Linked DNA regions of Oryctolagus cuniculus. The protein of the gene in region 1 purifies or fractionates together with the protein of each later gene. This does not show direct contact. Links are inferred from orthologs where the notes say so. Each region holds a gene or a part of one and is shown in the gene's direction. Other genes may lie near its edges. The genes, in order: UQCC1 and UQCC2.

Evidence for each region.
Region 2: the proteins of UQCC1 (region 1) and UQCC2 purify together in Homo sapiens (co-immunoprecipitation; 3 studies listed by BioGRID and IntAct, counting the BioPlex papers as one, with this or other methods). This does not show direct contact. The link is inferred for Oryctolagus cuniculus from reciprocal best matches to the Homo sapiens genes UQCC1 and UQCC2.

The regions. Positions count from the first base shown.
Region 1 is NC_091442.1:22,865,225-22,880,621, forward strand, and holds the end of UQCC1 (ubiquinol-cytochrome c reductase complex assembly factor 1), read left to right. Parts: intron 1-8,610; coding exon 8,611-8,724; intron 8,725-11,748; coding exon 11,749-11,883; 3' UTR 11,884-13,153; downstream 13,154-15,397. UniProt on the Homo sapiens protein: Required for the assembly of the ubiquinol-cytochrome c reductase complex (mitochondrial respiratory chain complex III or cytochrome b-c1 complex). Involved in cytochrome b translation and/or stability.
Region 2 is NC_091436.1:135,513,978-135,528,667, forward strand, and holds the end of UQCC2 (ubiquinol-cytochrome c reductase complex assembly factor 2), read left to right. Parts: intron 1-1,874; coding exon 1,875-1,949; intron 1,950-3,190; coding exon 3,191-3,260; intron 3,261-6,561; coding exon 6,562-6,689; 3' UTR 6,690-6,737; downstream 6,738-14,690. Other genes in the region: inositol 1,4,5-trisphosphate-gated calcium channel ITPR3, read right to left, coding at 7,995-8,063, 8,465-8,626, 9,272-9,432, 9,710-9,875, 10,505-10,632, 10,716-10,820, 11,193-11,385, 12,187-12,351 and 7 more.

The DNA.
Region 1 (15,397 bases):
GCTGGTTCACCCTCCAATGGCCGCCGCGGCCGGCGCGCTGCGGCCAGCGCACCGCGCTGATCCGATGGCAGGAGCCAGGAGCCAGGTGCTTTTCCTGGTCTCCCATGGGGTGCAGGGCCCAAGCACCTGGGCCATCCTCCACTGCACTCCCGGGCCACAGCAGAGGGCTGGCCTGGAAGAGGGGCAACCGGGACAGAATCCGGCGCCCCGACCGGGACTAGAACCCGGTGTGCCGGCGCCGCTAGGCGGAGGATTAGCCTAGTGAGCCGCGGCGCCGGCCTAATAATAGTCATTTTTTTTTTTTTTTTTTTTTTTTTTTTTTTTTTGACAGGCAGAGTGGACAGTGAGAGAGAGACAGAGAGAGAAAGGTCTTCCTTTGCCGCTGGTTCACCCTCCAATGGCCGCCGCTGCAGCCGGCGCACCGTGCTGATCCGATGGCAGGAGCCAGGAGCCAGGTGCTTTTCCTGGTCTCCCATGGGGTGCAGGGCCCAAGCACCTGGGCCATCCTCCACTGCACTCCCTGGCCATAGCAGAGAGCTGGCCTGGAAGAGGGGCAACCGGGACAGAATCCGGCGCCCCGACCAGGACTAGAACCCGGTGTGCCGGCGCCGCTAGGCGGAGGATTAGCCTATTGAGCCACGGCGCCGGCTAATAATAGTCATTTTTAAAGTTCATCAAAATGTAAATAAGTGGCTGAGGCAGAAAGGGAAAGCCCATTTCCTCTCCTACCAAGTTCCCTGCCCCAGAAGAAAACTTCCTTAAACGTTTATTGGGTATCTTTCCAGATGTTACCTGTACATAGACAAAAGTACCTTAGTAATTTCCTTTTTTTATGAAAATGGGAGTTACATGATACACTGTATTTTATAACATGCTTTTTTCTTTTTAAAAAGATTTATTTATTGAAAGGCAGAGTGACAGGGCGGAGAGAAAGAGATCTTTTAAAAGAGTTATTTATTTAATTTGAAAGAGTCATGGGGTGGGGGGAGATTTTCCATGCGCTAGTTTACTCCCCAGGTAGCCGCAATGGCCAGGGCTGGGCCAGGCCAAGTCAGGAACCAGGAGCTTCATCTAGGTCTCTCACGTGGGTGGCAAGGGCTCAAACACTTGGGCCTTCTGCTGTTTTTCCCAAGCCATTAGCAGGGAACTGGATCAGAAGTGGAGCAGCTGGGCCGCGCATTGGCACCCATATGAATGTCAGCGTCACAGGCAGCAGCTTGACAGGTTGTACCACAGCACCAGCCCCCAATTTTTTTTTAATTGCAAAGTATACATACATAAAATTTATCATTTTTACCATTTTTTAAAAAGACTTTTAAAAAAATATTTATTTATTTGAAAGGCAGAGTTACAGAGAGGCAGAGTCAGAGAGAGAGCGAGGTCTTCCATCCACTGGTTCACTCCCCAGATGGCTGCAATGGCCGGAACTGTGCTAATCTGAAAGCAGGGGCCAGCAGCTTTTTCTGGGTCTCATGGTTGCAAGGGCCCAAGGACTTGAGCCATCTTCTTCTTTCCCAGGCCATAGCAGAGAGCTGGATTGGAAGTGGAGCAGCTGGGACTCGAACTGGTGCCCAAGTGGGATTCTGGCACTATAGGCGGTGGCTTTACCCACTACGCCACTGTGCAGGCCCCTCATTTTCACCATTTTTAAACATATGGTTCAGTGCAGTATATTCCCATTGTTATGTAACCATCCATCACAATCCATCTCTTGAGTTACTGAGCAGTAACACACACACCCCACCCCGCCCCCAAGTTCCTGGCAGCCACCATTTACTTTCTATCTATGAATTTGACTACTCTAGACACCTCGTGTCAGTGGAAGCAGAATATTTGTGACTGGCTTGTTTCACTTTGCATAATGGCCTCAAGTTTCATCCATGATATAGCATCTGTCTCACTCTCTACCCCCAATATTTATTTTGGAAATTTCGAGCATGTAGAAAGTTAAAGAATGAGGTGATAAACACCTGTGTGCACACCACCAGGATTCATCATTCCTCATCATTTTAATAAACCATGTGCTTTTACACTCATTTTGTGGTTACCTCCAGATTTAATGTGAGTGTCACACAGGTGTAGCTCATTCTGCTCTCCCTGGACTCACAGCACTCACCATACTGGTGTTAACTGTCACCCTGGCTGGGTGTGGATTTCTGGGTGGTGCCAATGCTTATTGTGTCCACATTTCTGTTTCCTTGCTTAGTGCTTGGCACGTGGTAGATGAGGAGATAGCAAGAGAGGAAATGCACGGAAAGGTGGGAAACTAGAGTTCAGGCTGGAGTATGAGCCTGAAGATGATAATTAAAGCCAAAAGGTAAATTAAGGTTAATTTAATCCAAAAAAGTAAGTTAAATTAGTTGCTTCGGGTTACAAGACTAGTTAAAATTGAAGTCTCTTGATTCTTGATTACAATGTCTACAGATAGAAAAAAGCAATTTAGATTGTATGACATACACATTAATTTAATGTGAGCTTTTGGGAGTCATGGGAATCAAGAAACAGCTTACATACACATCAGTTGTTACATTAGATGCATTCTTTTTTATTTTTTAGGAAGGAAGAAAGTTTATTTTGGTTTACAGTTTGGGCAAGTTCACCATCCAAGATTGGGCAGCCCTAATAGTCTGGCTTCTCTGATGGCAGAACATGTCACATCAGATGCATTTTTTTTTTTTTTTTTTTTTTTTTTTTGACAGGCTGAGTGGACAGTGAGAGAGAGAGACAGAGAGGAAGGTCTTCCTTTGCTGTTGGTTCACCCTCCAATGGCCGCTGCGGCCGGTGCACCGCGCTGATCCAATGGCAGGAGCCAGGTACTTATCCTGGTCTCCCACGGGGTGCAGGGCCCAAGTACTTGGGCCATCCTCCACTGCACTCCCGGGCCACAGCAGAGAGCTGGCCTGGAAGAGGGGCAACTGGGACAGAATCCAGCGCCCCGACCGGGACTAGAACCCGGTGTGCCTGCGCCACAAGGCGGAGGATTAGCCTAGTGAGCTGCGGTGCCGGCCCAGATGCATTCTGACTTCAGAAATCTTACAGTGAGGTTTAGAATTGAGGAGACATAACTGTCAGCGTTTATTTGTGGTCCTTACTGCAGGTGGCTCTGTTGGCTCCGCTGATTTCTTTCATCAATATTAATAAACGTGCGCTGAGTCCGCCTTGGCAGAGCCATTTTCCTGACCCTACCTGACCACAGGAATTGCCCGGGGTGCTTTCTAAACCTAACTCTTGAGACCTCTCTGAAGATTCCAGGTCAGCAGCACCCCAGGTGTCTCCCAAGAGCTGGAAAGCTTGGGGAATATACGGATTACTCGGGAAACTTGGTAAAAATATCTGGGCCCTGTCCTCCAAAGGTTCTGATTTATTTGGAACTGGTGGATGTCTGGAGATGTAAAACTTCTCCAGGTGATTTTAATGTGTCTGTGACCTGCCTGGAAGTCACAGATCCAGTGAGCCTAGGCTGGGGCCTGAGAGTCTGCACTAACAGGTGCAGGTGATATGTTCGCAGCCATTTTGCAGACTACATTTGCAGTCACAAGTTTCCAGAACTGCCTAGTACTCACCACATAAAGCTATTTTTTTTAATGATTTTATATATAGATGTAGATATAGATTTAAAAGGCCGAGTTAGAGAGAAGAGGGCGAGTGAAAGGAAGATCAATCTTCCATCTCCAAATGGCCATAACAGCCAGGGCTCGGCCAGGCCAAAGCCAGGAGCCTGGAACTGCATCCAGGTTTCCTCTCTGGGCCACAGGAACCCAAGTACTTGGGTTGTCTTCTGCTGCTTTCCCAGACGCATTAGAAGGGAGCTGGATTGGAAGTAAAGCAGCTGGGGCCCAAACCAGCACTCATATGGGAAGCTGGCATCCTGTACCACAAAACCGCTGCCCCATAATGCTAGTCCCAGACATGTAATTTAAATTAATTGGGCAAAATAATAAATACAGTTCTCCAGCCACGTTAGTCACATTTCAGGTGCTCAATAACTAAGTGACCAGTGGCTACGATATTGGCTGTGCAGGTATAAGACGTTTCCAAATCGCAGAAAGTTGTTTTGGACAGTGCTGTTCTACAGCAGCCTTTTGCTACAATCTTGTTTGGTGTTCCCTTTCCTGGACACTTTGGAACCTTCCTGGGTTTTTTGTTTTGTTTTGATGCCAGGTATAGGGAACCTTTTTTTCTGCCAAGGGCCATTTGGATATTCCAAACATCATTCACAGGCCATACAAAATTATCAGCTTAGGGGCCAGCGCTGTGGCTTAGCAGGGAAAGTTGCTGCCGTCTGCAGTGCTGGCATCTCATATGGGCACAGGTTCAAGTCCCAGCTGCTCCACTTCCGATCCAGCTCTCTGCTATGGCCTGGGAAAGCAGTGAAAGATGACCCAAGTCCTTGGGCCCTTCCACCCGCGTGGGAGACCCGTAAGAAGCTCCTAGCTCCTGCATTCGGATTTGCGCAGCTCCGGCCATTGTGGCCAATTGGGGAGTGAACCAGCAGATGGCAGACCTCTCTCTCTCTGCCTCTCCTCTCTCTGTGTAACTCTGACTTTCATGTAAAATAAATAAAATCTTTAAAAAAATTATCAGCTTAAAAACTAGCCTGCTATAGACTTATTGAAGTTCAAGTCCTGCCTGTGGTTGCCTTAGTAGGGCCAGAACGAATGATTTCATGGACCTTAAATGGTCTGCAGGCTGGTTGTTATCCATCTTTGCTCATGTGATCCAAAGTGCCCTGTGAACTTCTAGGCCACCGTGAACTGTTTCCGTTGTTACATGCCCTTTATCTCCCGTTGCCTACCTTCTTGTGGGGCTGTTCACCTCACTGCCCACCCCCCACATTCTGTGCCAGATTGAGATTCTACTGGACAATGAGATGTTGGCGGCGATAGCTGAGTCTTGGTCTGCTTTGTACCTTGGGGCCTAGTTCAGGAACTGGCACTTTGTAGGCACTCCTGTAAATGTTCAGTGAATGAGAATTGTCTGTCACTCTCCAGATCCTCCCCATTCTTTTTATTTACATCTGAAAGGCATAGAGAGACAGAGGGAGAGAAAAATACAGAGATCTTCCATCTGCTGGTTCACTCCCCAGATGCCTGCAACAGCCAGGGCTAGGACAGGCTGAAGCCAGTGCCCTACAACCTAATCCAGATCTATGTGAGAGGAAGGGACCCAAGTACTTTGAGTCATCACCTACTGCATCCCAGGATGTGCTTTAGCAGGCAACTAGATCAAAAGAAAAATGGGGACTCAAACTCAGGCCCTCTGATACAGGATGCAAGCGTCCCAAGTAGCATCTTAACTGTGGTGCCAAATACCCACCTCCAAACCCTCCCCATTCCTGAATGCCCTCTTCTCCATAAATCTTTCCCTCGCCTCTATAGGTCTCTTTTGTTTTTATTCTGAATTTTGGCACCCATCTACCATTCATCCTTTCACCTATCCATTTGGGAGGTATTTAGTGAGTGTTAACCATATGTGATGTGTGGAGAATAGTTGGTGAAAAAAACATGGTCTCTCTCGCTTCTCGGCCTTTTGGCTAAGATCAAGTGTAGTAAAACATGGTCTCTTTCCGACTGGAGCTTGCCTTCTAACTGAGAGGTAGATGGTGAACAAGTAAACAAGCAAATAAATAACTAGTTGCAAAAAGCATGCAGTGATAGAGTGACAGAGAAAGGCAGCATAGACTCAAGTCTGAGGGCTGGAGAGGCAGCCATGGACAAATCATGTGGAATCCTGCTCTGCTGTTTGGCATTTGTTCCTTCTTGTTTATTGTTGCTGTTGGATGTGCTTTGTCCCTTCTGCTGGACTGCAAACTCCCTGAGAGCTGACACCATGATTCTGTGTTCTTAGCATCATGCTAAGCACATAGTGGTGTCAAATCAGTTGTCACGAGTGAAACTCTGCCGCTAAGCCCGCAGGACATTCCTTCCTGCTTGCCAGCAGTCTCTGTACACCTCCATGTCTGCCATTTCCTGAAGGCTGCTTGCTCTCTGTGCTTGTGAGGGGAAGCAGGCAGGCACCCTCTTAGACAGTGAGAACATTGCTGTGCAATTAAGTGTTTGGCTGCTAGATTTCCTCTCCTCCTCTGCTTCCTTAGTTTAAACTGGCACTCTCAGCCGATCTCCATTTGTTCTCACTGACTTCCGAGCATGCTGGAGGAAAGAAAGCCCCTCTATGCCAGGTGCTGTGTTCTGACCGGAACTGCCCAGGCACGTGTGCCCCCCCCCCCCCATTAGAAGCTGGTCTAGTTCTACTACCAGTAGACTGGATAACCTGTAAGCTCAGTGTTCATACCTTTTAAATGGGGATGATAATGTTTGTCCTGCCCGGTGCACACAGTCATTAGGAATGGGTTTGTGAGGAGACCTGACAGCCTGGGGCAGCCAGTTTGCCACCACTGTTAAGGAGCCTGCGTCAGCCTTTTCTTCTGACTGCCCAGGAACTCCTGATTGATGATTTGCCCCTCCTTGGCCATCTCATCTGCCACCAAGCAGCAGGCCTTGGTGCCCAGGCTTTTCCTGACCCAGGCTCTGCTCATCCTCCGAGTTCTCAGGACACCTGCTCCTGTTGGCGCTCCCATTCCTTCCCATGGCGTGCGTACGTGTGGGTCACTGCCAGCAGCATCTGGCACGCCCAGGGCACTGCAGACACAGGCAGATTGTTGTGTTAGCAAAGAGCTGGGGAGTGGTGATGTGCCTGAGCTTGTCCTGGCCCCTATCGCCACCTGCCAGAAGACGGCTTTCCTGACTCAGCCCGCAGGCCAGGGCGCTCTGGAGCTGGGGCGACTGTAGGAGTGTTCAATAGAGGGCATTTGGAGCAGGTGGAATGTTTTCCACCCACCTGTCAGCACTCCACATGGACATGGCCCTTCCTGACTGCAGGCCTAGAGCCAGACCTCACATACCACAGGGCCCCAGAGGCCAGACCACAGTGTAACACGGGTAAATGATCCTGGGTCTTTGAGTAATGTTTACCACTCACAGAGCCTTTGATGGCCATTATCTCTTAGTTCTAACAGCTCTGTGGGGGGGCGTATTATTATACTTATTTAACACGTGAGACACTGAGGCTCAGAAGAGGGTTAATAGCTTTTCCAAGGCCATGTGGTCATCAGGTGACAGCTGCCAGAAGTTGGCATTTGAACTCAGAGGGTCTGGCTCCCAGATCCTGCTGTTGTTTTGGCTATATCCACAGCTGCCTGCCATGCATACTTCTTATCTTTGATTCAACATGTTACCCCTAACAAAACACCTTCATGTTATCTTATTTTTGTGAGTTAAGGATGTTGTAAGTAGAGCAAGTATTTTCATCCCTTTTTAATAACTGAGAAGGCTAAGACACAGGTTTACTGAATTGTCACTGTCACTGAACTTGGCAGTGGCAGAACTAGGATTTGATCTGATCCTTGACCTCCAAGTCAGCACTTGGGTTCCACACACTGACTTGGCACCAGGACAAGGCAGCTCCTCAACTTTTCCCTTCAAGCACCCTCGCTCCAGGGAACAAGACCCTCACCTCTCCTTCCCTAGAGGTCCAAGTTAGAAAATGGCCCTGGCCTGTGGCTGAGGTTCTAGTGAATCTCTTTGATATTTGGGCTTCCCAACAGAGGTCTCCCCTGTGCCAGGAGAGATTCTCTGTGATCCTCTTAGGCTCATGGCAGACCTGGTGAACAGCATAGCCTGGACCAGCCGTTTCCAGCCCAGGGTTGGGTAACTGAAGACAAGTACCCACTTCTTCCCCATTGTAGATTTGTGCCTTTGGACCAAGCATAAAGATGCAGTCCAGGGGCCGGCGCCTGCAGTGCCAGCATCCTATATGGGCACCGGTTCAAGTCAGCTGTTCCACTTCCAATCTGGCTCTCTGCTGTGGCCTGGGAAAGCAGTAGAAGATGGCCCAAGTCTTTGGGCCCCTGCATCCACGTGAGAGACCTGGAAGAAGCTCCTGGCTCCTGGCTTCAGATTGGCGCAGCTCCAGCTGTTGCAGCCAAATGGGGAATGAACCAGTGGATGAAAGACCTCTCTCTCTGCCTCTCCTTCTCTCTATGTGTAACTCTGACTTTCAAATAAATAAAAAAAATTTTTAAAGATTTATTTATTTATTCAAAAGGCAGAGTTACAGAGAGAAGTAGAGCCAGAGAGAGGTCTTCCATCTGCTGATTCACTCCCCAGATGACCGCAGTGGCCAGAGCTGAGCTGAACCACCACAGTGCCAGCCCGGATAAATAAATCTTTAAAAAAACAAAAAGATGTTTTTTGCCTCCCTCCATGTCCTGTGGACACCAGCAGGAGCAGCTGTGCTCTTCCTAGCCTCTCAAGTGTGGAACAGTGGGAGCTGTGCCCAGGACGGTCCACTAGACACATGTCCCAGCTGTGCATCCCCTTACCTCTGGGTCCCGTGTTCTTCCCGTGTCTGTTAAATGAAGGGGCTGCACAAGGTGTGCTCATGGGAGCCCCTCCAGCTCTGTGGTGTCGCTGTCCCATTCCTGTCTCAGAGTCTGCGAGGTCCTCCTGAGCCAGTTGTGTGATGGCCAGCTTGCTCACAGTGTCCCGGCTTTGGTGTCACGCCTGTGGTACTCCTCACTCAGGAAACAAGTTGTTGTGCTGTGTGTTCCAGGGGATCCTTTCAGATGATCATGGGTTGGCTGCTGCTCTCTGGAGAACCTTCTTCAATCAGAAGTGTGAAGACCCTCGGCAGCTTGAATTGCTGGTGGAATATGTGAGGAAACAGGTGTGTGTCCTGCCCCTCCCCTCCAGGGCCTGTGGAAAGCGGGTGCTCCCTGAGTCTGTGGACGCTGGACGATCAGGATCATGTGAGGTTGAGTTAGCAGGGGCCTGTCTGAGGGAACTTTGACCACATCACTTAAGCAGCAGGCATCTTCTGTGTGGCCAGCCATGAACTAGGCAGGGGGCAGGGAATGAGAGTGACTGAGAGAGAAGGCAGTGAGTAACCTCTTGCTTTCAGAAACGGGAAGTCACTCAGTCACTGCACATCTCCTTGTCTGCTGTGTGCCAGGTTCCATGCTAGATACTGCCCCATGGAGTCCTGAAAGAACCGGGCATTGGGTATAGAGGGTGTAGTGACCGCTGTGTCCGGATTCCTGTCCTGCTCCTGATTTCTAGTGGAACTGGGCTGCAGGCAGTGTTCCACAGATACCCCCAGCCTCTTCCCACAGTCAAGCAAAGTCCCCACTTCAGTTCCTCACCCCTTTGGCAGCATCAGAGCTCTCGGAGAAAAGTTTCACAGTAAAGACTGCTTACCTCTACAGCCTTCCTTGAACCCATGGAGAAGTAACTCCATGATCCTGCTCCCAGGGCCCACATTGAAGAGAACTCATACTTTATGGATGAGTGGGCTGAGTGATAGGGACAAGGAATGTGGAGGCCTTCCCAGGATCTCCAGTGAGTCAGCTGCACAGCTGGCCTCGGACCCCAAGCCAGGTGATCGACGTGGCCACTGGAGACCTCAGCTGCCAACAGACAGCTCATCAGCTCAGCTGTCCCATGAGTCACGCCTTTGCTTCCCGGGCCTAGCTAGGAAGGGGCTTGTGCCATAGTTGTCCCTTGTTCACCTGTATCCACGGCCTTCAAATCTCAACAGCAGGAAAGGGAAGGTCAGACCCCAGCTCTTGAGGAGAAGACTCGGACCGTCGTCCTGGCTATGGCCAGTTGGCTACCAGAAAAGCCGTATCCTGGGGCTCTTCAGACCTAGAGGGTAAAGAACCCCGGAAGCCAGGACTTTGTTTGACCATTCTTCAAATCTGCCCAAGTCCGGGAGATAGCACCATGGCCAGAGGGCCCCACGCACAGGGCATCCTGAGCCTGGCACTGTTGCCTGGACTCAGTCTCGGAAAGGAGCAGCAGTTGGCAAAGCACGTGCTGTGTTTTCTGAGTGCTCCACTCAGGTTTCCATCTGCCATGGTGGGCTTGTGCCAGAGTCTGACAGGGCACAGCTGGGACCCCTCTGAAGACCCTAAAGAAAGGGGCTACCACAACCAGTGTCCCTGTAAGGAGGCCCGGACTTGTGGCACCAGTGAGAACTGGGGAGTAGAAAACAGCGATGGGCCTCTTAGGGATGCCAGAAGCTTCGATGGGAACTCAGTTCTGTCATCAATCCTTTGAACACCTGCTGTGCCAGTCGCTGTGGTAGGAAAGGGGAGATTACTAAGGCTGGCACTGCCCCTGAGGAGCCAGCTCATGGTTTGGTGAGGAAGACGGCAGGGAGAGGTTCCTGCTGACCCCTGGACTAGGGAGGACTGGGGAGGACTGGGGAGGACTGGGGAGGACTGTAGTTCTGCACTGTTGTGTGCTGCTCGGTATGTTCAATGGGCCAAGACCCAGTCAGAGAATATGTTGAGTTCTCAACCCAGGAGGTGGGGAAAGTGGTGGCATTCAGCACAGAAATGGAGCAGTTGGACGGCGGAGTGGGCTTTGGAGAAGATGACAGTTTAGTTGAGTTTCCTTCCTGGGCGGAGAGCAGGGCATGTGGAAATCTAGACCTGAGCTATGTGAGAGGCCGGAGCGGTGTTCAAGGGTCAACAGCCTGAAGTTGAAGCATCAGGACCAGGAATTCCTGGAAGAAGGGGGTGACCCAAGGCTCAAGGTAGAGCTTCTAGTTCCCCTCCCTGCTCCCCCAAATCAAGGCTCATCTTTCTCAATCAGGTGCTGACTTGAGCTCTGATCAGCTCTCACCCTGGATTTTGCCCTTCTGCTTGCAGGCATTTCTCCTTGTGCTGCCCTCCTTCCCTGCAGGCTCCTGGGAGTCCTCCAGAAATGGTCTCCGGAGACCCAGCCCTTGTTCACTCCCTGGCCTCTTGCAGAGCCACCTGAGCCCACTTCCTGAGCTGCTCTCCTTCCCCTCCATCCACAAGTGCCTCCCTCCATAGAGAGCATCTGTACTGAGATTCCTAGGGACAGCGTCCAGGGGTCCAGCATTGCCCAGGGCAGTGGCACCCGGAGCTCACCAACTGTGTGCCCAGAGTCTGAAGGCTGAAGACAGCCCAGAGGTCCTGAATGGTGTCTCCAGATGTCAGAGCAGCTGTCAGTTTGGGGAGCAGGAGGGGACAACATTGGGTGGCCCCAGTTCTGGAGGGGACACTGAGGCTCGGAGGGGAGAGCTGCCAGGCAGCAGAAGAGCTCCGGGACTGCCGCCGTCTCGATGGCAGAGCTGTTCACGGGGATGGGCCCTCCCGGCCGTCCTGGAAGCGGGGCACTGGGCGCTGACCAGCATCAGGGCCGCTGGAGGACAGCGGAGGTGTACAAAGTAGGAAAACTTTCGAGTGAGTAGTGCTGTGCGCATGCGGTACTGTACCTCTCCTTGAGTCCCCTCTATGAGACAGGGAACTAAATATCAGAGAGGAAGTGGCCTCCTTGGGAACACCACCAAGGAGGGGTAGAATTGGGATTTGTTGTTGTTGTTGCCGCGCTGGGTGGGCGTAGACAGGATGCCTTCTGTGAGTCACAAGCCCTGACTTCCTGCTGCAGGAGCTCTCTCGGGCGGGCCTACGGTGGATGTCCTTGGTGGGTGTGTGGTACGAGATGCTCCAAAACCTTCCCAGTGAGCTTCCCCGGGACTTCTCTCGCCAAATCTTAGTGAAATAACCTGGGAGACCAGAAACCCCTGGTTGGGAGCTAGCACGGCCAGAAGTCCCCTCGTGTCCTCTTCCCTCTCTCACTCGGGGAGGCTGGTTCCTCGTGCCACCTCACATTTGTCCTGTCATTGTCTCTTCCTCTGTTCCCTGCTCTCTCCATGCAGATGCAGTACCTGGACTCCATGAATGGTGAAGACCTGCTTCTGACAGGGGAGGTGAGCTGGCGCCCTCTAGTGGAGAAGAATCCTCAGAGCATCCTGAAGCCCCTTTCGCCCACGTACAATGACGAGGGTCTTTGACACACTGCTCCTCCCGGACTTTTGGCCAGCTGGCTTTGAAGAACTGCCAGGAGAGAAGTGACTGTTGAGCCCAGGACCCTGCAGAGAATGGCCTGAACTGACCTGTGAACAGCCTCTGTCAAACACCTGGCCCTTCTTGTGTTGCATCTCCTCTTACTGTGCCCAGGAGTCTGTTCTGGTGGGGGGCAGCCCTGGGAGAATGCCCAGCTTTTCCTCAGGAGAAGCTCCAAGCAGGAGCTCCCCGAGGGCATACCCCCCATGTTCTTTCAGCAGCCACGTGTGGTTGGCAGCTTTTCCAAAGGCTCAGGAAGGGACAGGTTAGAAAGGGGACACCCCACTGCGGGCCACTGTGGCCTAGGAGCGATTTGTAACGCTGCCAACTCAAGATGGATAACCATGTTGTGTCCCTTAGCTCTGGGCCATGGGGTTGAGCCGGCCATTAAAAGAAACAGAGACTTATCTCCGCCAGGCTCTTCTTTATTCTAAGGTCTTTTAGAAACTTCGTGGCTGGTGGATGTCATAAGCCACTCTGCCCAGCTCCGTTAGAACCAGGGTGAGGGGAGAGGTCAGGAGAGTGTGCCGCAGCTTGCCTGCAGGACATGGACGTGGGCCAGTGCCTGCAAGCCAGTCCTCCGGGATGCAGGAGCCTCAGAGGGCCGAGGGGCTTGGCCCATCCTGGGTCATTTGGAAAGAGGCCTCGAGAACAAAGGTCCCTTTGTCACCCCATGAACTGGGTGAGGAGCGTGCGTCTTTCCTGTCTTGGCCTCCCCTTCTGGGAGATGGTAGAGAAAAGAGATCATTCGTCCCCGCGTTCCACCTCCTCCCCACTTCCGGAGCCACCTTGGGCTGAGCTCTCCACACCAGTCCCCTCCTCCCTCTTGTGTGGGTCATGTCTTGGGGGACTTTCTTAAATCGAAGAAAGGGGCGGGGAACCGTATTGCCCCTCCCTCCCCCGTCAAACTTCCTTCATTTAACTTGCTATAAAATGAGTCATATAAAGAAACTCTATATGGGTGAGGTATATCCCACTTCTGTGAAAACATTACAAATCATACCGCCTTCTCTCAGTTTATTTAAGAAGCTTTTGTTGCGCACAGAGCTCTAGAGTGAAGCCTCTGTGTGTGTGAGATAATAACACCTTGTAACTCATTACAGCTGGGCACTATTTACATAAACCAGAGCTGAGCCAGGCAGGAATTTGCTGATTAATTTATTTTTAATGGAGTGAAGTATACCATGCACCAAAATAAACTTTACTGTGTGTACCTAACTGCTCCTGGAATGGATGGAAAAATTAATGGAACAGATTTTGGCTCCCAACTCTACACATTAATTCATATATAAAAGTTATTTGAGCGTTAACCCATTTGCTGCCCAGGGCAGCTCCCCAGCCACAGATTCCAGCCCACAGCCCCAGTTCAGCTACCGGGCTTGCCGGGGAATCCTGGAGCCTCAGATGGGGAAGGAACCGTGATGGTTGTTGGGCCCGCTCCCGCTCCAGAGCTTCACTCCCCTTCTTAGTTGGCCCCTATCCGCGCTGGCCCCCAGTGGGTCCTTCCAGCAACACGTAGATGGTCCCTGCCTGCAGAGCCTGTCCTCATCAAACACAGTGACTCGTAAGATGGAGCCACGCGTGAGGGCCACGTTGGCCCTGCCATGTCTGTGGTGTCCCATAGTCCTCCCTTCCTGGCCATCAGCATCTTTCACTGACTCTGCCAGTCCTCCCCCTCCCCCCCAAGATACATTCCATGTTCCTTCAACACCACCAGGCTCTTAGTTGGATCCCCTACCTCCATGCCAGCCTGTCGTTAGGAGACCGAACCACTTGGGGTTACCTGGAGAGACTACTTAGTGTTTCCTCTGCCTGCAGCGCTCATCCCTCCCTTTCTAACTAGAGACGTCCAGGCTTCCTCAAGTAGCTCCACTCGAGCCCTCGCCAGGCACGTGCACGCTGTCCGTGCTGCTCCCTGCGGCCAGCGAGCTGCCGCCGCACAGCAAACACAGTGCTGCTCTCCTTTGTTTTTGCCGTGCTTGGCAGAGTGCTGGGCTCAGTGCATACTTCGGTAAGTGAAGGAGCAAATAAGTGATTAAATCTTCAGTCATTATCAGTGGGAGTCCAGCCACAAAGCCCCTTTCTGGACTCTTGTCAGTCTGACCTACAGGTCGACGGTTTGAACAATGATGCTTAGGTATTAAGTACTTCTTTTTACTTTAGTATAGGAATCAAACACAAAAGTTCTTTCCATAACTGTTTTCTTTCTTTTCCTTTTTTTATTCTTTTGAAGATGTGTTTTATTTGAAAGGCAGAGTTGCAGAGAGAGAGGAAGAGAGATAGAGAGAGATCTTCTATCTGCTGGTTCACTCCTAAAATGGCCACAGTGGCCAGGGCTGGGCCAGGCCAAAGCCAGGAGCTGGATCTGAAGTGGAGAAGCCAGGACTTGAAACAGCGCCCATATGGAATGCTGACATTGCAGGCAGTGGCTTAACCCGTTATACCACAACACTGGCCCCAACTAAGTGTTTTTCTAATGTGAGTTGTTATTATACAAAACAAGTGAAGGGTATGATTACTTGTCCTCAGGGAGATTGCGCTTTAGGAACAATTACGTCATTTATTTGTACTCTCTGTACTTCCAGAAAGTATCATAGCAAACAAAAAGATAGTTATAATAAAACTGTAAACTATTAACATTTAAAAAGTAAGATGCAAGTATTGGGAGGGAAGAGAGGAAAAATGATGTTAGAAAACCTAGGGACTAGCACGGCGGTGTAGCAGGTAGAGCCACCACCTGCAGTGCTGGCATCCCATATGGGCGCTGGTTCAAGTCCTGGCTCCTCCACTTCCATTCCAGCTCTCTGCTGTGGCCTGGGAAAGCAGTAGAAAATGGCCTGAGTCCTTGGGCCCCTGCACCCATGTGGGAGACCTGGAAGCAGCACCTGGCTTTGGATCAGTGCAGCTCCAGCCACTGTGGCCAATTGGGGAGTGAACCAGCAGATGGAAGATCTCTATCTCTCCTCCTCTCTCTATCTCTCCTCCTCTCCCTCTCCCTCTCCCTTTCCTTCTCTCCGTGTAACTCTGACTTTCAAGTAAATAAATAATAAATAAATCTTTAAAAAGAAAACCTAGGTTGCAAATAGATTTTTTGGGATATTTTATAAAACATTTTAAATGGGCCGGCGCCGCGGCTCACTAGGCTAATCCTCCGCCTTGCGGCGCCGGCACACCGGGTTCTAGTCCCGGTTGGGGTGCCGGATTCTGTCCCGGTTGCCCCTCTTCCAGGCCAGCTCTCTGCTGTGGCCCGGGAGTGCAGTGGAGGATGGCCCAAGTGCTTGGGCCCTGCACCCCATGGGAGACCAGGAAAAGCACCTGGCTCCTGGCTCCTGCCATCGGATCAGTGCGGTGCGCCGGCCGCAGCGCGCCGGCCGCGGCGGCCATTGGAGGGTGACCCAACGGCAAAGGAAGACCTTTCTCTCTGTCTCTCTCTCTCACTGTCCACTCTGCCTGTCAAAAAAA
Region 2 (14,690 bases), on another chromosome or scaffold:
CAGCAGTCCAGGCCTTGCCTGGTTCACCCTCACGCCACCCCCCCAAGTCAGGGCTATTATTGTCTTTGCTTTTGAAAGCATGGTTGAGTTGGCCAGTATGCTTCAAAAGTGGCAATTCATGAAAGACAAAGAGCGCGGAAGTGTCCCAGATTACAGGAGACTAAATATACATGTGTTACTACAGTGGGTGGTCCTTTTCCTCTGTGGGGGCTGTGGGTCAGGCACGCTGCTGTCGGGTCTGTGCTGGGTGGCCCAAATTCGAGTTTGAACTTCGGTCCTGTGGGAGGATGTCCTTGTCCCTGTAAGTCTCCCCTCCCCCAGATACCATGGGCTGAAGGGGGTTTATGCCCCAGTTCTCAGACAGATCAGGAGGAGAGCGTGGACGGATACAGAGACCAGAGAGCAGGTGGGACAGCTTTCTTCAGCGGTGTCAGGGCGAGCAGCCGATGTGCTGACATCCAGAGAGCGCGCATAGGCACAGGCGCGAGGAGGGCGCGCGGGGGAAACGCAGCCACCTTTGGTGGTCAGAACGGCACCGCCGCAGCTTTGTGCCTGTGCTGCGCTCCCTCCTCTGCGACTCGTCTGTCCCTCTGCACCAGAGTGTGTGTGCAGACGGCCTGTGCCCCAAGAAGCTGGCCTGCCAGCCCCAGCCTCGTGCCTGTCTTCTGCCCACACATTGCCCTTGGCCACTGTTAGCCAGCACCGGCCACCTGGCGTGCTCGTGATGCGCAGCCCGAGCGCAGGGACCAGCAGTGCAGCTCAGTGATGATCCCTTGTCTGCGTGCTGTCACGTGGGGACCTCAGCTCGCTCTCTGACACACACACACACACACACACAGAGGCAGAAGCAGAGCTGCCTTATTAAAACGCTGATCTACTGATTTGTCTACACGTTGCCTTCTTGGAGAGAGGATTTCAGTTAGAAAAGAGATCTGCCGTCTGAATTCTTGGGGAAACCGTGGAGAGAAAGTCTTGTTCTGGGGAGCTTTCAGAATCGTAGGCAGAAAAAAGCCAGGAGCCACGGGTAAATGATAGCGACGGCAGAGGGGCGGTGGGAAGGGAAAGTCCACCTCCGTGCCGATGCTGCCGGCAGGGGCGCTGCCCCTCGGGCGTCCGGAGGCCGCGTGTGTGCCCCTGCGTTGGCAAGGACCCCTTGCCAGCCGGGCCATGCCGCAGTCAGCATCATGGGCACCCGCTCACTGCGCTCGCCTTAAATACCGCCCTGTTTCAGCAACTCCTCGCTTACTGCAGGTGGAAGGTCACGTGATTTTTTTTATTTTTATTTTTTGCCTTTCATAGAAGAATGTTTTTAATCCGTTTCATGTTGAAAGTTTAACTCCACAGCTCTCCCTTCCTGCAGCACAGGCTCTCCACCTGTACCTGCAGGCCCTCGGGCGGACCGTCCAGTCTGCCCCTCCGCCTCGCACACACCAGCCTGTCCCCCGGGAAGGCCCTCTCTGCTCCCGACCCCACGGCCCTCAGAGCCCAGCTTAGTCTCGCGGGTGTGTACACTGACTGCTTAGCCTCGAGGCCCCCGAACGCCCTGGCTCTGCCCCAGCTAGGGACACGCTCCCACCACTGCGATTCTTTGTCTCCCGGGGGAAGTCACAGGAGCTCAGCAGGCAATTGTTCGCTGGTTCACTTGCTTTGTTTGCAGGTGGGGGACCGATGAGGGGGAGTCACTGCTCCCAAAGGTGATTTCTCACTGCAGGGGGCTGTGGGTCGGGTCCACTCCCACAAGGCTGAGCAGCCCGGGAGCCCATACCAGCTGCGTCGTGTGGGTGCCTCCCTGCGTGTGGTCCTCCCTCGGGTGCAGGCGCAGCGTGGGCGCAGGACTGCTCTGCTCACTTCTTTGGGGGCTCCTTGTTTTACAGATTGCAGAGCCCGAGGCCTGTGATCAGATGTACGAGAGCTTAGCCCGGCTCCATTCCAACTACTACAAACACAAGGTGAGTGGGCCCGGCCTGTCATAGCCCAGCCCTCTGACGGGGGCAGCCGGGAAGAACGAGGGAAACCTGATTATACCAGGCTTTGTAAAGAACTGCCTTCCCCGCTTTGCCGTGTAACCAGCAATTTCAGCCAGGCCAACAAAGGTGCCTGTAGAGGCTTTGAGGTCACCTAGACAAAGGCTGTTAAAATGGAGAATAAAAGCCTTGTGCTTCAATGCCGGTGTGTACTCACGGGACCATGGGACAGGCCCTGGGTCTCACGTGTTCCCATCGCTCTGTGGAACGGGTACTTCCCGCGCTGGTGATAGAGGTGGGGAGATGGGGGCTTCCCCCGACCCTGAGCTAGTCACTGTCAGATGCCATTTAGTGTGGCTTTCCCTGGGCTTGACTGCACACGTACACAGCAGCCTCCTTAACCAGAGGTTCCGCGCCCATGGAGTCAGGCCCCCATGGAGCAAACATCCAGGAAAAATACTGTGTGCAGACATTTTTTGGTCATTATTTCCTGAACAATATATTGTAACAGCCATTTACATGCACTTGCTGGATATTGTAAGTTACATGGAGGTGATTTAAATTACACGTGAGGGTGTGCATAAGTTATATGCAAATAGTACAGACCACTTTATTTATTTTTTTGTTTGTTTGTTTTTGTTTTGTTTTTTTAAGATTTGTTAGGGAGGGACAGAGGTCTTACATCTGCTGGTTCATGCCCCAAATGGCTGCAATGGCCGGACCAGGCCATCAGAAGCCAGGAGCTTCTTCCAAGTCTCCCATGCGGGTGCTGGGGCCCATCTTCGGCTGCTTTCCCAGGCCATCAGCAGGGAGCTGGATTGGAAGTGGAGCAGCCGGGATTCAAACTTGTGTCCATATGGGATGTCTGTCACAGGTGGAGGCCCCTACATACCACTTTATATAAGGGACCCGAGCAGCTGTGGATTTGGTGTCCAGAGGATACTGATGGTTAACCATGTGGCCGCGCAGGAAAGCACATGTGGGCGTCACCGGAGAACTGTCAGGAACACGCTGGCCTCTGGCTCCCAGAGGGGATTCCACTTTGAGGTTGGAGCTGCCTGCCCTGGGCAGACTGGTGCTTGTGAGGCCAAGTCTGACCTCACGGTGGCGCTGCTCCTCTCCTTGCCATGTTCCTGGCCTGGGCCTGCCCAGGGCCCTGGTGAATTGTGAGAGAGCAAGGCTTGTGTGGTGCAAAACTAATCTCTCTCCTCTCTCCTCTGCCCCAGTACCCTCGGCCCAGAGACACCAGCTTCAGCGGCCTGTCCCTGGAGGAGTACAAGCTGATCCTGTCCACAGGTACCGAGAGCACAGCTGCCCTTTCGGTTGCTTTGCAGATGAGTCTTTGAGCGGCCGGGGGGGATTGGCTAATAAGACAGCGCTGCTCGATGGACAGTCTGGAGTCACGGCAGGGCCCGTGCTGTTTGGCCACAGAATGTGGAGAAGGTCAAAGGCATCATTTAAAAAAGAAAATCCATCTTTAGTGCTTTCAAATTCAAGGCTGGGCAGCAGGGAACAGGGGAATACGTATTTGCCAAATGGAAGTAGTTGAAATCAGGATGGAAGGAAAATAATTTTATTTTTATAGCCCTAAGGGGGCTCTATAAACAATGAGGGTTTTAATTAAAACAAAAAGCCATTCAATAAAACATGTATAGGGATATCCGACTGAGACTTATCTGACCCCGGGGACGCGGTCTGTGGATTAGCCGGCTTAGCCAGGTCTGTGTGGGAGTCCTCGATAAACCCCACCCTGCCAGGCCGGTCCCCTCCTCACGTCCCTGGCTCCATTGTGAGCAGAGGGGCTGGGGCAGGGGAGCCGGAACTGCAGCGGGCAGGTGCTGGAAAATTACCCTTCCCATTGCCAAGGAGATTGTGTACAGAAATAGGCCGGCCTTTCCTGGGAGGGCCAGCCCTGGGCATTGGCCTGCTGGGGTTCTGGAGGTCTCTCCAGCGGCCGGCAGCGGCTAAGATGCAGGCGTCTGACCTTCTAGAACTCTCTTACCTTCTGCGCAGATTGGAACCTGGGGCTGTCGCCTGTGTTCTTGTCGACTCTGAGCCTGCTTTCATTACAGCGCTCTCCAGGAATGGGGTGAAGGTGTTGTGGGCAGGCAGGATCGCTCTGTCAGCATTTTTCAAGGTAGACGTTTACTCCCCGTGCCTGGGTCTCTGCAGTCAGCGTGCTGATGGCCAGGCTCATCGCGAGGGCCCACAGACTCTGAGCAGTTTGGACTTAAAAGTGGCATGGACACCGACTCAGAGGCCCTGCCTCTGCCCTCTTGTGACCCCCGGGAAGCTGGAGTGTGCAGGGGACAGGTGGCAGTGAGGCTGGGAGATGGGCCCCCGCCATTGGCTGTGCGGTGGCTTGTTCTGGCCCCAGGAAATTTGCTGATGATTGGTTTTCACAGTACGCCTTGTGTTTTTGTTGCAAACGTGTGGGGTGAGCTGCTCGAGTGTTTCCCGTGACGGGGCAAGCAAAGACCTGCAGCACCTTGTAGCATGAGGCTCTGGGGCCTGTGAGTCCAGTCCCCGCGTGTCGCCGGGCGTGGGGTCCTCGTGACTTGCAGGCAGAGGCAGACAGGGGTCTCGTCACCAAGGGGTGCCTTTGTGCCCCATAAGGGACCCCGGACTTCTGGAAAAGTCCCAGGGCGGGTTGCCAGGCTGGTGGCTGAAGGGCAGCGCCTGTCCTGATTCAGCCAGGAGCCACTGGCAGCAGATGTCATTAATAAATAACGTAGGTGACTTTTTTTGTTCAGAAAGGCTATTTTTGTTCTCTGGGAGTTTTGATAAGAGACGGAAACTCAGCCCATGAACGCTAAAGCAGGCCTGAGCATGTTCTACGTTTTAGACACAGGGCAGCCAGCTGTCACGGCTGCTGGGCTCAGGGGTGCTGCAGATCAGCAGCTCCCTCGGGGCGGGCGGGGGGGCAGCTTTGTCCCCAGGGGCCCCGTGGCAGTGTCTGGAGGCTTCCTTAGCAGGTGGTAAGCAGAGGTGCTCCTGGCTTTGGATGGGTGGAGGCGAGGGATCCCTGGGTGTGGGTGGGTACCTGTACCACTGCTCTCCCCAGCCCCTTCTGCCTGCATAGTGAAGAGACCGTCTGTCCAGCGGGCGTGGGGGGCAGGCAAGTTGCCCGCATTTCCTTTAACCCTCACAACTTCTTTTTTCCTGGAGATTTATTTGAAAGGCCGAGGTACAGATGGAGAAACCGGGAGTTTCCATACTCTGGCTCACTTCCCAAATGGCCGCAACAGAAGCCAGGAGCTTCATCTGGGTCTCCCATGTGGGTGGCAGGGGCCCAAGCACTTGGGCCATCTTCTGCTGCTTTCCCAGGCACTGGATTGGAAGTAGAGCAGCCAGGACACAAAGGGGCACCCATATGGGGATGCCGATGTCACTTCTGGCAGCTAAAACCACCACACAACGCTGGCCCAGACCCTCACAACTTTCGAGGTGGTCATTTTTACCATTTTACAGATGAGGGGATTGGTGGAGACTCAGGCCCAGGTCTACCTCCCTCCCTAATGCCTGTTTAGCTGCATAGCCTGCAGTAAACCCACACCGGCAAGAGTTCAAATCCCAGCTCTGGGGCCACATTGTGACGCAGGTTAAGCTGCTGCTTTTGGCTCCCATATACCATATCAGAGCACCTGGCTCAAGTCCTGGCTACTTTGCTTCCAGTCCAGCACCCTACTAGTGTACCCAGGAGGTAGCAGATGGCGGCTCAAGTACTTGGGCCCCTGCCACCCACCTGGAAGACTAAGATGGAGTCCCAGGCTCCTGGCTTCAGCCTGGCCCAGCCCTGGCCGTTGCAGGCATTTGGGACATAAACCAGGGGCTGGAAGAGTGCTTCTCTATCTCCCTGCCTCCCTCCCTCCACCCCTCGTTGCTCTGCCTTTCAAGTAGCTGAAAAAAAAAATTTTGTAAATATTTATTTATGGGGGGGCTGGTGCTGTGGCACAGTGGGTTAACACCCTGGCATGAAGCACCAGCATCCCATATGGGCGCCGGTTCGACACCCGGCTGCTCCACTTCTGATCCAGCTCTCTGCTATGGCCTGGGGCGGGGGCCAGTGCAGGATGGCCCAAGTGCTTGGGCCCTTGCACCCACATGGGAGACCCAGAGGAAGCTCCTGGCTCCTGGCTTCGGATCGGCGCAGCTCTGGCCGTTGCGTCCAATTGGGGAGTGAACCATCGGATGGAAGACCTCTCTCTCTCTGCCTCTCCTCTCTCTGTGTAACTATGACTTTCAAAAAGTTAATTTTGTTGCAAAAACATCTTGAAATCTATGCACGGAGTTTTGAGTATCATGTATTTCCATGAACTTTTTGAAGTACTCTGAGAAGTCTAAACCCCTGTGGTGCAGCGCATGGCTGTGGATCGCATGGTGCACACCACCGTGCAGCTTTGTACACTCGTGTGCAGAGGGCAACAAGCAGTGCGCCGTGCTTCCTAGATGCCCAGGACGGGGACCCTGGGAGCGGGCAGTGTCTCGGGCGCGCGGGGCTCCTTCACTGCCAGCGGGCTGCTCTGATGTGCGGGCCCCAGGGCTGCCCGTGTAGCCAGAGCTGAGACTTGAGCCATCCCTGTGTCTTGTTTTGCAGACACCTTGGAAGAGTTCAAGGACATGAACAAAGGCATGTGGAAAAAGCTGCAGGAGAAGTTTGCCTCCAAGAGCCCTGAGGAGAAGCACAGGGCCTGGGCACGGGCCTTATCTCGCCCACCAACCTAAGTGTGGCGCCTTTGATGTTGCCCTTGTCAATAAATCACCCGACCCCGACCTCACGGCTGCGGAATCGCGTCTGCCCCACAGGACGGAAACCCGTGCACTAAAGCAAGCTTCCGCCCGAGGAGCGGTGTCAGCCGGCTGCCGGGACCGGCGTCAGCACGGGGAGCTCTCTGGGGAGGAAGCGCGGGTTCCAGGGCGGGTCACGGGGCCTCTGCCCAAGGTGCTTCCTGCACAGGCCCAGGAGCCCCGCCTTCCGTGGAGGCCTGGTGTCTCCTGGGATGAGTCTCGGGCTCCCCCGTCATTGTCAGAGGCCCTGGGAGGATGTGCGCAGACTGAGGACAGAGCTCAGCCTCTGGCCTCCCGAGGACCCACGTGCCCAGCCAGGCTAAGGGACAGGCAGGGCCTCAGGCTGCAGCTGGCTGCCGACTGGGTAGGCTTTGTAGGAGCCCCAGACTTGCCGCTCTGAGCTCCCTGCGTCAGGAACACGGCCCAGAGAAGAGGCTGTGTGCTGTGAAATCTGTGGAATAAACTGGAGGGGACGGTGGGAACTGTCGCCACGCGCTGTGAGCCTGAGGAGTGTTGGGGCCGCAGGCGAGCCCCGTGGGGGAGTACAGGCAGGACATGCACTCCTTTTTAATGAGCTGGGTTTATTTCTATTAATTTATTTAAGGCAATTAACATTAGTTCTTGAGACAAAAGACTTGTAAAACAATACACCCAAAGGAGAAAAAAACAGGCAGTCAACAAACAGCCGCTCGCAGTGCTCAGCCCGTGCGGCTGGCCCAGGAAGAGGCAGGTCCTGGGGGAAAGGCTGCCCATCTTTGAGTCATCAGGACACCTGGGCGACATGGCTGAGCAGTGCACCTTGGAATAAGTTAAATAACTAAGCCCTAAAGTCGCTTAGTGACAGCACCGCCGCCACCTCCCCAGAGGCAGCAGCAGCGAAATGTAGTGCTTGGAGAGGAGGGGAGCCCACTGCTGACGCCGCGGGGGTGCCATGGGACTGGCAGGCACTGCCCGAAGGAACGCAGGTCACCGGGACTTCTAAGGCATTAAGGTAAACTGAGTCCCAGTGGACTTGAGGGCTCAAGGCAGGACCACCAGCTCCGAGGCTCCCCCTCCGTGCTGGCCTCAGCCTGGGGTGGGGTGGGGTGGGGGGAGGTCTGGCGGGCAGGAGCTGGACCCTGGGTGGGTCCCTGGCCTTGAGAGGCCACCTGGCTGGCTGGGCCCCCTGGCCCGGGGGAGCAGGCAGCTTCCGCGGGCACAACCCCCGGTGTTGGCCGTCCTGGTCAGGGCCTCCGGGCGTCTTCAGCGGCTCATGCAGTTCTGCACATCCACAAAGCCCAGGCGCTGCCTGCGTTTCCGCTGCTCGGTCATCTAGGCGGGGACAGGTGCAGGCCCGGTCAGGCCACCCGCCCCCTCCCCGGGAGGGCTGGCGTCCTGCTCCTCTGCAGGCTGCCGGCTCCAAACCCTGCTGCTCAGGGAGCGCATCACAGAGCCCTGACTGGCTGCAGCTGGGAAACCAGGCCACTGCCAGGTGCAGAGGACGGGGCAGGTGTGCCGGGCAGCCACAGCTGCCTCTGACGTCCCCATGCCCCAGGAGCCCCGGGGAGGGGGTCCCCATTGGCTGCAGAGCCCAGGGAGGCCATACCTCCGGGCCGGAGTTCCACTGGGCCATGGGGCAGGACTCGGTGTAGGGGAGAGCTCGGGACCTACTCACGTCCCAGGGCTGACAGGAAGGCTGAGCAAAGTGGGCTGGCCCAGGGCGGGGTGCGCACCTGCTCCTTGAGCTCGTTGAGCTGGGCGGTGAGGTGGGACACCAGCTTCATGGTGGAGTTGAGCTTGTCCTGCAGAATGCGGATCTCGTTCTGTTCCCCCTCACCCTCGTTGCTCACGAGGGACATGGCTCGCATCCGGGGGAACCAGTCCAGGTTCTTATTCTGAAAAAGGCCACCAGGGAGGTGAACAGTCTGGCCCAGGAAGCCCTCACTTGGAAAATCAGTCATTGGGGCTGGCGCTGTGATGCAGCAGGTAAAGCCGCCACCTGCAGTGTCGGCATCCTATGTGGGCGCCAGTTCAAGTCGCGGCTGCCCCTCTTCCTATCCAGCTCTCTGCTGTGGCCTGGGAAAGCAGTAGAAGATGGCCCAAGTCCTTGGGCTCCTGCACCCACATGGGAGACCTGGAAGAAACTCCTGGCTCCTGGCTTCAGATTGGCACAGCTCCGGCCATTACAGCCAATTAGGGAGCGAACCAGTGGATGGAAGACCCCTCTCTCTCTCTCTCTCTCTCTCTCTCTGCTTCTGCCTCTCTCTGTGTAACTCTTTCATATAAACTAATAATAAATCTTTCTTAAAAATCTTAAAAAAGAAAAAGTCATTGAGGGGGGAGCTTCTGCCACCCCTTGACAGATGCATCACGGGGAAGCCTGGGCCGACCCAGGCCACGGTGAGCTGGCAGGGAGGCTGTGCCACCTCGTCAGGGTACCCAGCCTGTACTCTCCTGACGTCCCCAGGGAGGGGACAGCTCTTGTCCGCCGCAGGCTTCCTCCCGCCCCGTGAGGAGCGAGGCGGCAGCCCCGTGGGCACCTTGATCATCTGGGCCACGTAGCTCTCGGGGCCGGTGTAGTCGGTCTTGTTCTTGACGCGGACCAGCACGATGAAGTACAGGTAGTTCCACATGTTGTGCTCCAGCTTGATGTGCTCCTCGAATGACACCGTCTTGTTATCAAACTTGTCCCTCTCCAGACCTGCGGGCGTGCACGGCCAGAGCTGCCGCCGGGCTGCCTGTGGGCCGTGTCCCCCGGGCGAGGGGGCTGGCGAGGGACCGAAACCAGAACCTCGAGGCCACCGGCAGGCCTGTAAGCCCAGGGCTTAGAGGGCCGGTTTCCGAGGCCCTCTCCCCCTCCCGCTTCCTCGAGCTCAGGCAGGGCCGTTCTCTGCCCAGTTCCGGGGACACGCGCCAGCCATCGGCGGCCCCTCAGCAGGGCTCCGCAGGGGCTGCTGGGGGCTGGGCCCGGGCCTCACCGCAAATGAAGCAGGTGGTCTTGAGGATCTCCTCCTTCTTCTGCTTCTCGCTGCGCAGGTCGGCGAAGGTGTCGATGATCACGCCGAAGATGAGGTTCAGCACGATGATGATGACGATGAAGAAGAACAGCAGGTCGTAGACCACGCGGGCTGGGAAGAGAGACTCCTGCAAGGAGGGGACAGGCAGGCTGGCCCCGCGTTCACCCGGCCCTGTGGCGATGGGGGCTCCAGCTCATTGGCCGTGAGGAAGGCAGGGTGGGCCCGTCTGGCTCCCTGGAGCGAGAGTGCAGCCAGAGGCCCCCAGCGTGGATTCGGAAAACAGCTGACTCAGCACGGGCCGGTGCAGCCCCACGGCGCGGGAACGAGGGCTACCGGCCCGGGCCTGTCCCTGCCCCTAACTCTTGGTTAGTTAGGGCAAGAGCCAGGGCCGAGCTCCCCTGCCCCACCCGCAGGATGCCTGACCTCACACATTCTAGAAACCCTGTCTGGCCAGGGAGGCGGCTCCTCACTCCCCAGGCCCCGGGGGTGGACTGCGGTTCAGGGAATGCCGGCTCCCAAGCCAGATCAGGAGGCCTCCCTGGAAGCTGACTCAGCTGCCCTGCCCTGCCCTGCCCTGCCCTCCCCGCTGCGGGCCCTGCGAGCCGGAGCGCCCGGTGCAACGGAGTCTCTGCCTGACTCACATCCTCCCCAGCCAGAGTGTGGCTGCCAGGGCCCAGCCCCGGCATCTCCAGGGGGCCGCGGGGCGGGGCTCACGTCCCCACGAAGCCGACGGGTGGGCGGGGCCCCGGCACTCACGTCTTTGGAGGGCTTGCGGAGGATGTCGCCCACGCCGCCTCCATTGCGCAGCCCGTGGTTCATGACCGTGACGATGCACATCAGCAGAGTGTCGCAGGCCCGCTCCGTGCTGTCCGGCTCCCCGTCTTCTGCAAGTGCACAGTGTGCTCAGACCCACGCCACTGGCCCCTGCACCCGCCCCACCCCCGCATCCACTGATCCCCACCCTCACCTTCCAGGGCCTCAGGCACCGACACCCCGGAGACACAGTCCATCTTGTCCCCGCTGCATGTGCCCACAAACGCGGCAGCTCCGTGTGGCATCGCCAGGGGGCTGGCTGTGAGGACAGGGACAGGGTCCTTATCACCCCCTCAGGTCTGTCTCCAGCATCACACCCTCTGGGCCGCCTCCCCCGGTGCTGCCTGCCCCCACTGCCGGCGGGGAGAGGCCTCTGTACCCCCCAGACCCGGGACCCAGGCAGCCCCTGCAAATGCTGAGTTTCATATGAGTGACAGCAGCTCCAGCCCTCAACCAAGTGGCTCCTGAGGGGTCAGAACCGCAAGGTTCTCAATCATGGCGTGAGCTAGACCAATCAGGAGCTGACTGGTGTGAGCTAGACCTTCCCAGAATCTCACAGGACAGACTGGCAGGGAGTCTCGCAGGATGAGCATAGGGGTCCTGGCCCTGACATGCAGGCCCTGCCCCAGACCTCTGGAGTGGTTGCTGGGCAGCCGGTCGACCTCCAGGATGAAGTCGTCCTTGAGGAAGAGGAAGCCCACGATGGAGAAGAGGTAGACCAGGATGAGCGCCAGCAGCGCCGTGAGCAGGATGGAGCGGCCGTTGCGGGTCACGCTCTTGATGACGTTGAACAGCGTCTCCTCCCGGTAGATGAGGTCAAAGAGCTGCCGGCGAGGGACAGGGCCCTGAGCAGCTGGGCCGCCCCCCTCAAGGGGCTCCCGCGGGCCCCCACAGGCCCCAGCAGCACCCGGCACTTGGGCAGGGAGAGCCAGCGGGTGGCCTGCGAGGGGAGCCGCGGGGATGGCACGAAGCGGGGGAGCGCACGGCCCTCCGCAGGCACTCGGTGCGCGAGCTCACTTCACCCCCAGTATTCTGAAATGCAGGAGCTGCCTTCGCCACTTCACAGAGGGGGAAACTGAGCCAGCCGACAGTTAAACCTGCGGCGCGGCGGGTTAAGCCACCGTCTGCAGCCCCTGGCATCCCATATGGGCACCGGTTCAAGTCCTGGATGCTCTTGGAAAAGCAGCGGAGGGTGGCCCAAGTGCTCGGGCCCCTGCACCCACATGGGAGACCTGGAAGCAGCTCCTGGCTTCAGCCTGGCTCAGCCCTGACCGTTGTAGCCATTTGGGGAGTGAACCAGCAGATAGATCAATTCTCTCTCTCTCTCTCTCTCTCTCTCTCTCTAATTCTTATAATAAATAAATCTTTAAAAGAAAAATATATAAAACTTGCCCAAAGACAAGGGGCTAGGAGTGACCAAGGTGAGATACACACCCATGGCCTGGTCCCAAAGTCCAGGCTTGAAGCCCCACTGTACTGGACAGAGCAGGTCAGGCTGGGGTCAGTAAGAGAGGACACTGAACATCCCCTCCTCCCAGCCCAGCAGCCAAAGGACAAGACAGAGGCTTGCGCTAGGGAACCACCCGAGTGGCCCCGCCCAGCCCCACCCAGCCCGCGGGCCTCACCAGGATGCTGTAGAAGAGCTCATGGGCGAAGAGGCCCAGGACACTGGTCAGGATGTAGCCCACGTGGTAGAGGAATTCCACGTCCATGACCATGGCCTTGTAGCCACGGATGAAGGTGCCACGGTTGCCCACGAAGCTCACCACAAACACGATCTTGTTGGTCAGCTGAGGGGTAGGGCATGGGGGTCAGTGTCCCGCCCAAACCTCCACCCCATCCCCTTACCCCTCGACGCCCCACCCAGAGGTGCCGCATTAGCGAAGCCACTCCCAGCTATGCATCAAGGCTCCCGGGACGGACAGGAAGGGGAGCCCCCGGGGCCTGCAGCTCCAGGAAGAAACCAAGGCTCAGAGAAAGGAAGAGAGGGGTGGAGAAGACAGCCCCAGGCCAGCATGGTGACCCGATAAGTCGGGAAAGGGCCCCCTCTGCTCAGGGCACGTCCCCTCCCTCTGCCAGGGAACCGTCACCACGCGCCGCCTCTGACATCCGCTGTGCCGGCTGCAGACACGGCGGCCCCGGCACCGGTGCTCAGTGGCTCCGAGCATGGGACCTCAGCCCAGAGAGCAGGGGGTGGGGCAGAGCGGGCCAGCTTCAGGTCCCCCCGCGGGTGGGCACGTGGGAAGAGCGCTGCGCCGGCACTCACGTTGAGGGCACCCAAGATGTTGAGCGTGGGCCCGATGCCCAGGTAGTAGATGGAGCGCAGGATGAGCGCCACGATGAGCGGGCGGATGCTGTAGCGCTTGGTGAACAGGGCCGTGACGGAGAAGCAGATGAGGATCCAGAAGAGCAGCGACATGAGCGGGGAGCCCAGCACGCCTGGCCGCGGGAGCAGGGGTGAGCGGGGCGCGGGAGCCCCAGAACACCGCGCCTCCTGGGAGCCTCCCCGGCGCAGCTCCTGGGGCCGGACGCCCCGCCTGGCTGCCACTGCCCGCCCTGGTTTCTGGCCCCTGGCTGTCCCCGCCCCGCCCCGGGGCCTCCCCGCTGCCCGCACCTGTGGACGCGCCCTCCACGTAAGGGTAGAAGAAGGCGATGATGATGTTGATGAACACGGCCAGGTTGAAGGAGATGCTGCCCCACAGGGTCATGCGGCGCGAGAACCAGTAGATGAGCGGCATGCCTGGGGACAGCTGGCCGTGAGTGCCCCGCCCCCTGCGCGCCCTCACAAGCTCCAGGCCCCCCTAGGAGGGAGGCGGGACGGGGTGGGGGGGCCCCCGGGGCCGGGGTGCCTGGGCCCGCCCTCCCGCGGTCCGCGGTCCTCACTGCGGAGCCGGCGCTGCCACTCCATCTCGTTGTGCAGGAAGGAGGACTGGTCGAAGAAGTCGCTCACTTTGCTGCCCTGCTCGTCCTGCTCGGTGGTGGTGAAGAGCCGGTGCTTGGTCTCCTCCGTCAGGAACTGGCAGATGCCAGGCACCGGGAACACGATCTGCTCCATGCTGCGGTCCTGCCGCACGATCTGCGCGTGCGCACACACGGCATGTCACGGCACGTCACGGCACGTCACGTCCCCCGGGGCCCCGCCTGCGCGCCCCGGCCACCCCCCCCCCGCCCACCTCGATCTGCGACGTGTGGTTCTCGTAGTAGGCCAGGGGGTCCTCTTCCTCCTCCTGCGCGGGCGCCGAGGACTTGAGCATCTGTGACAGCTGCTTGTTGTTCAGGCTGAGCTGGAGGTGCAGGACGCCAGGGTCGGCCCCCACGGTCCGGCCAAGGTCCAGCTCTGGACCACACCCCGGGGAGCATCGCCCACCCCTGAGCCAGCCAGGGGGCAGCCACAGCCACAGCCACAGCCACTCATCCCAGGAGACACCAGGCCAGGGAGTCCCATAGCACAGCCCCGCTGTGGCCTGGGTCCTGCTCTGGCTTTCCAGACCTGCCCTACACCCACTTCTAAGTCCCTGTTTCTTCCCTGGACCCCACCCCCAAATTCTATTCCAGCACCCAGATCCCAGCTCCTTCTTTGGTCCCGGGCCACGCCCCCCAGCCCTTGGCCCTGAGCCCTCCCCAGATTCCAGCTGTTCCCTGTGTTGTAGCCCCGCCCTCAATTTCCAGCCCTGCCCATCTCCCACCTGGCCACGCCCCTGGCTCCAAACCTTGCCCCACTCCCAGCCTTGTCCCAGGCACCCACCATGGAAGAGATGCCCTCGGCTTCCTCCTCTTGGATGCGCCTCACGGGCCTCAGCAGGTTCTGCAGCTGTTTGTTGTGCCTGGAGAGCTGACGGAGAGGACGGGCACAGGTGCTGGGGGCGTGGTCGCTAGGGCATGGCCGGGGGCAGGGCCACAGGGTGGGGCCGGTACCTGCAGTGCCAGGATGTAGATGTTGTGGCCCACTTCTCGTGGGCTCACCTCTGAGTTCTCACGCTCCTCCTCCTGCAGGTAGGCCTTCTTGATGACGTCCACCTGGCAGGGAAGCACCGGCTCAAATGCCCTCTTCCTGAGGGCGGGGTCCCCTTCCGGACACGCCTGTCGGCCCGCCCGCCTGCCCAGCTCACCAGCTCCTGGGGCCGCAGGC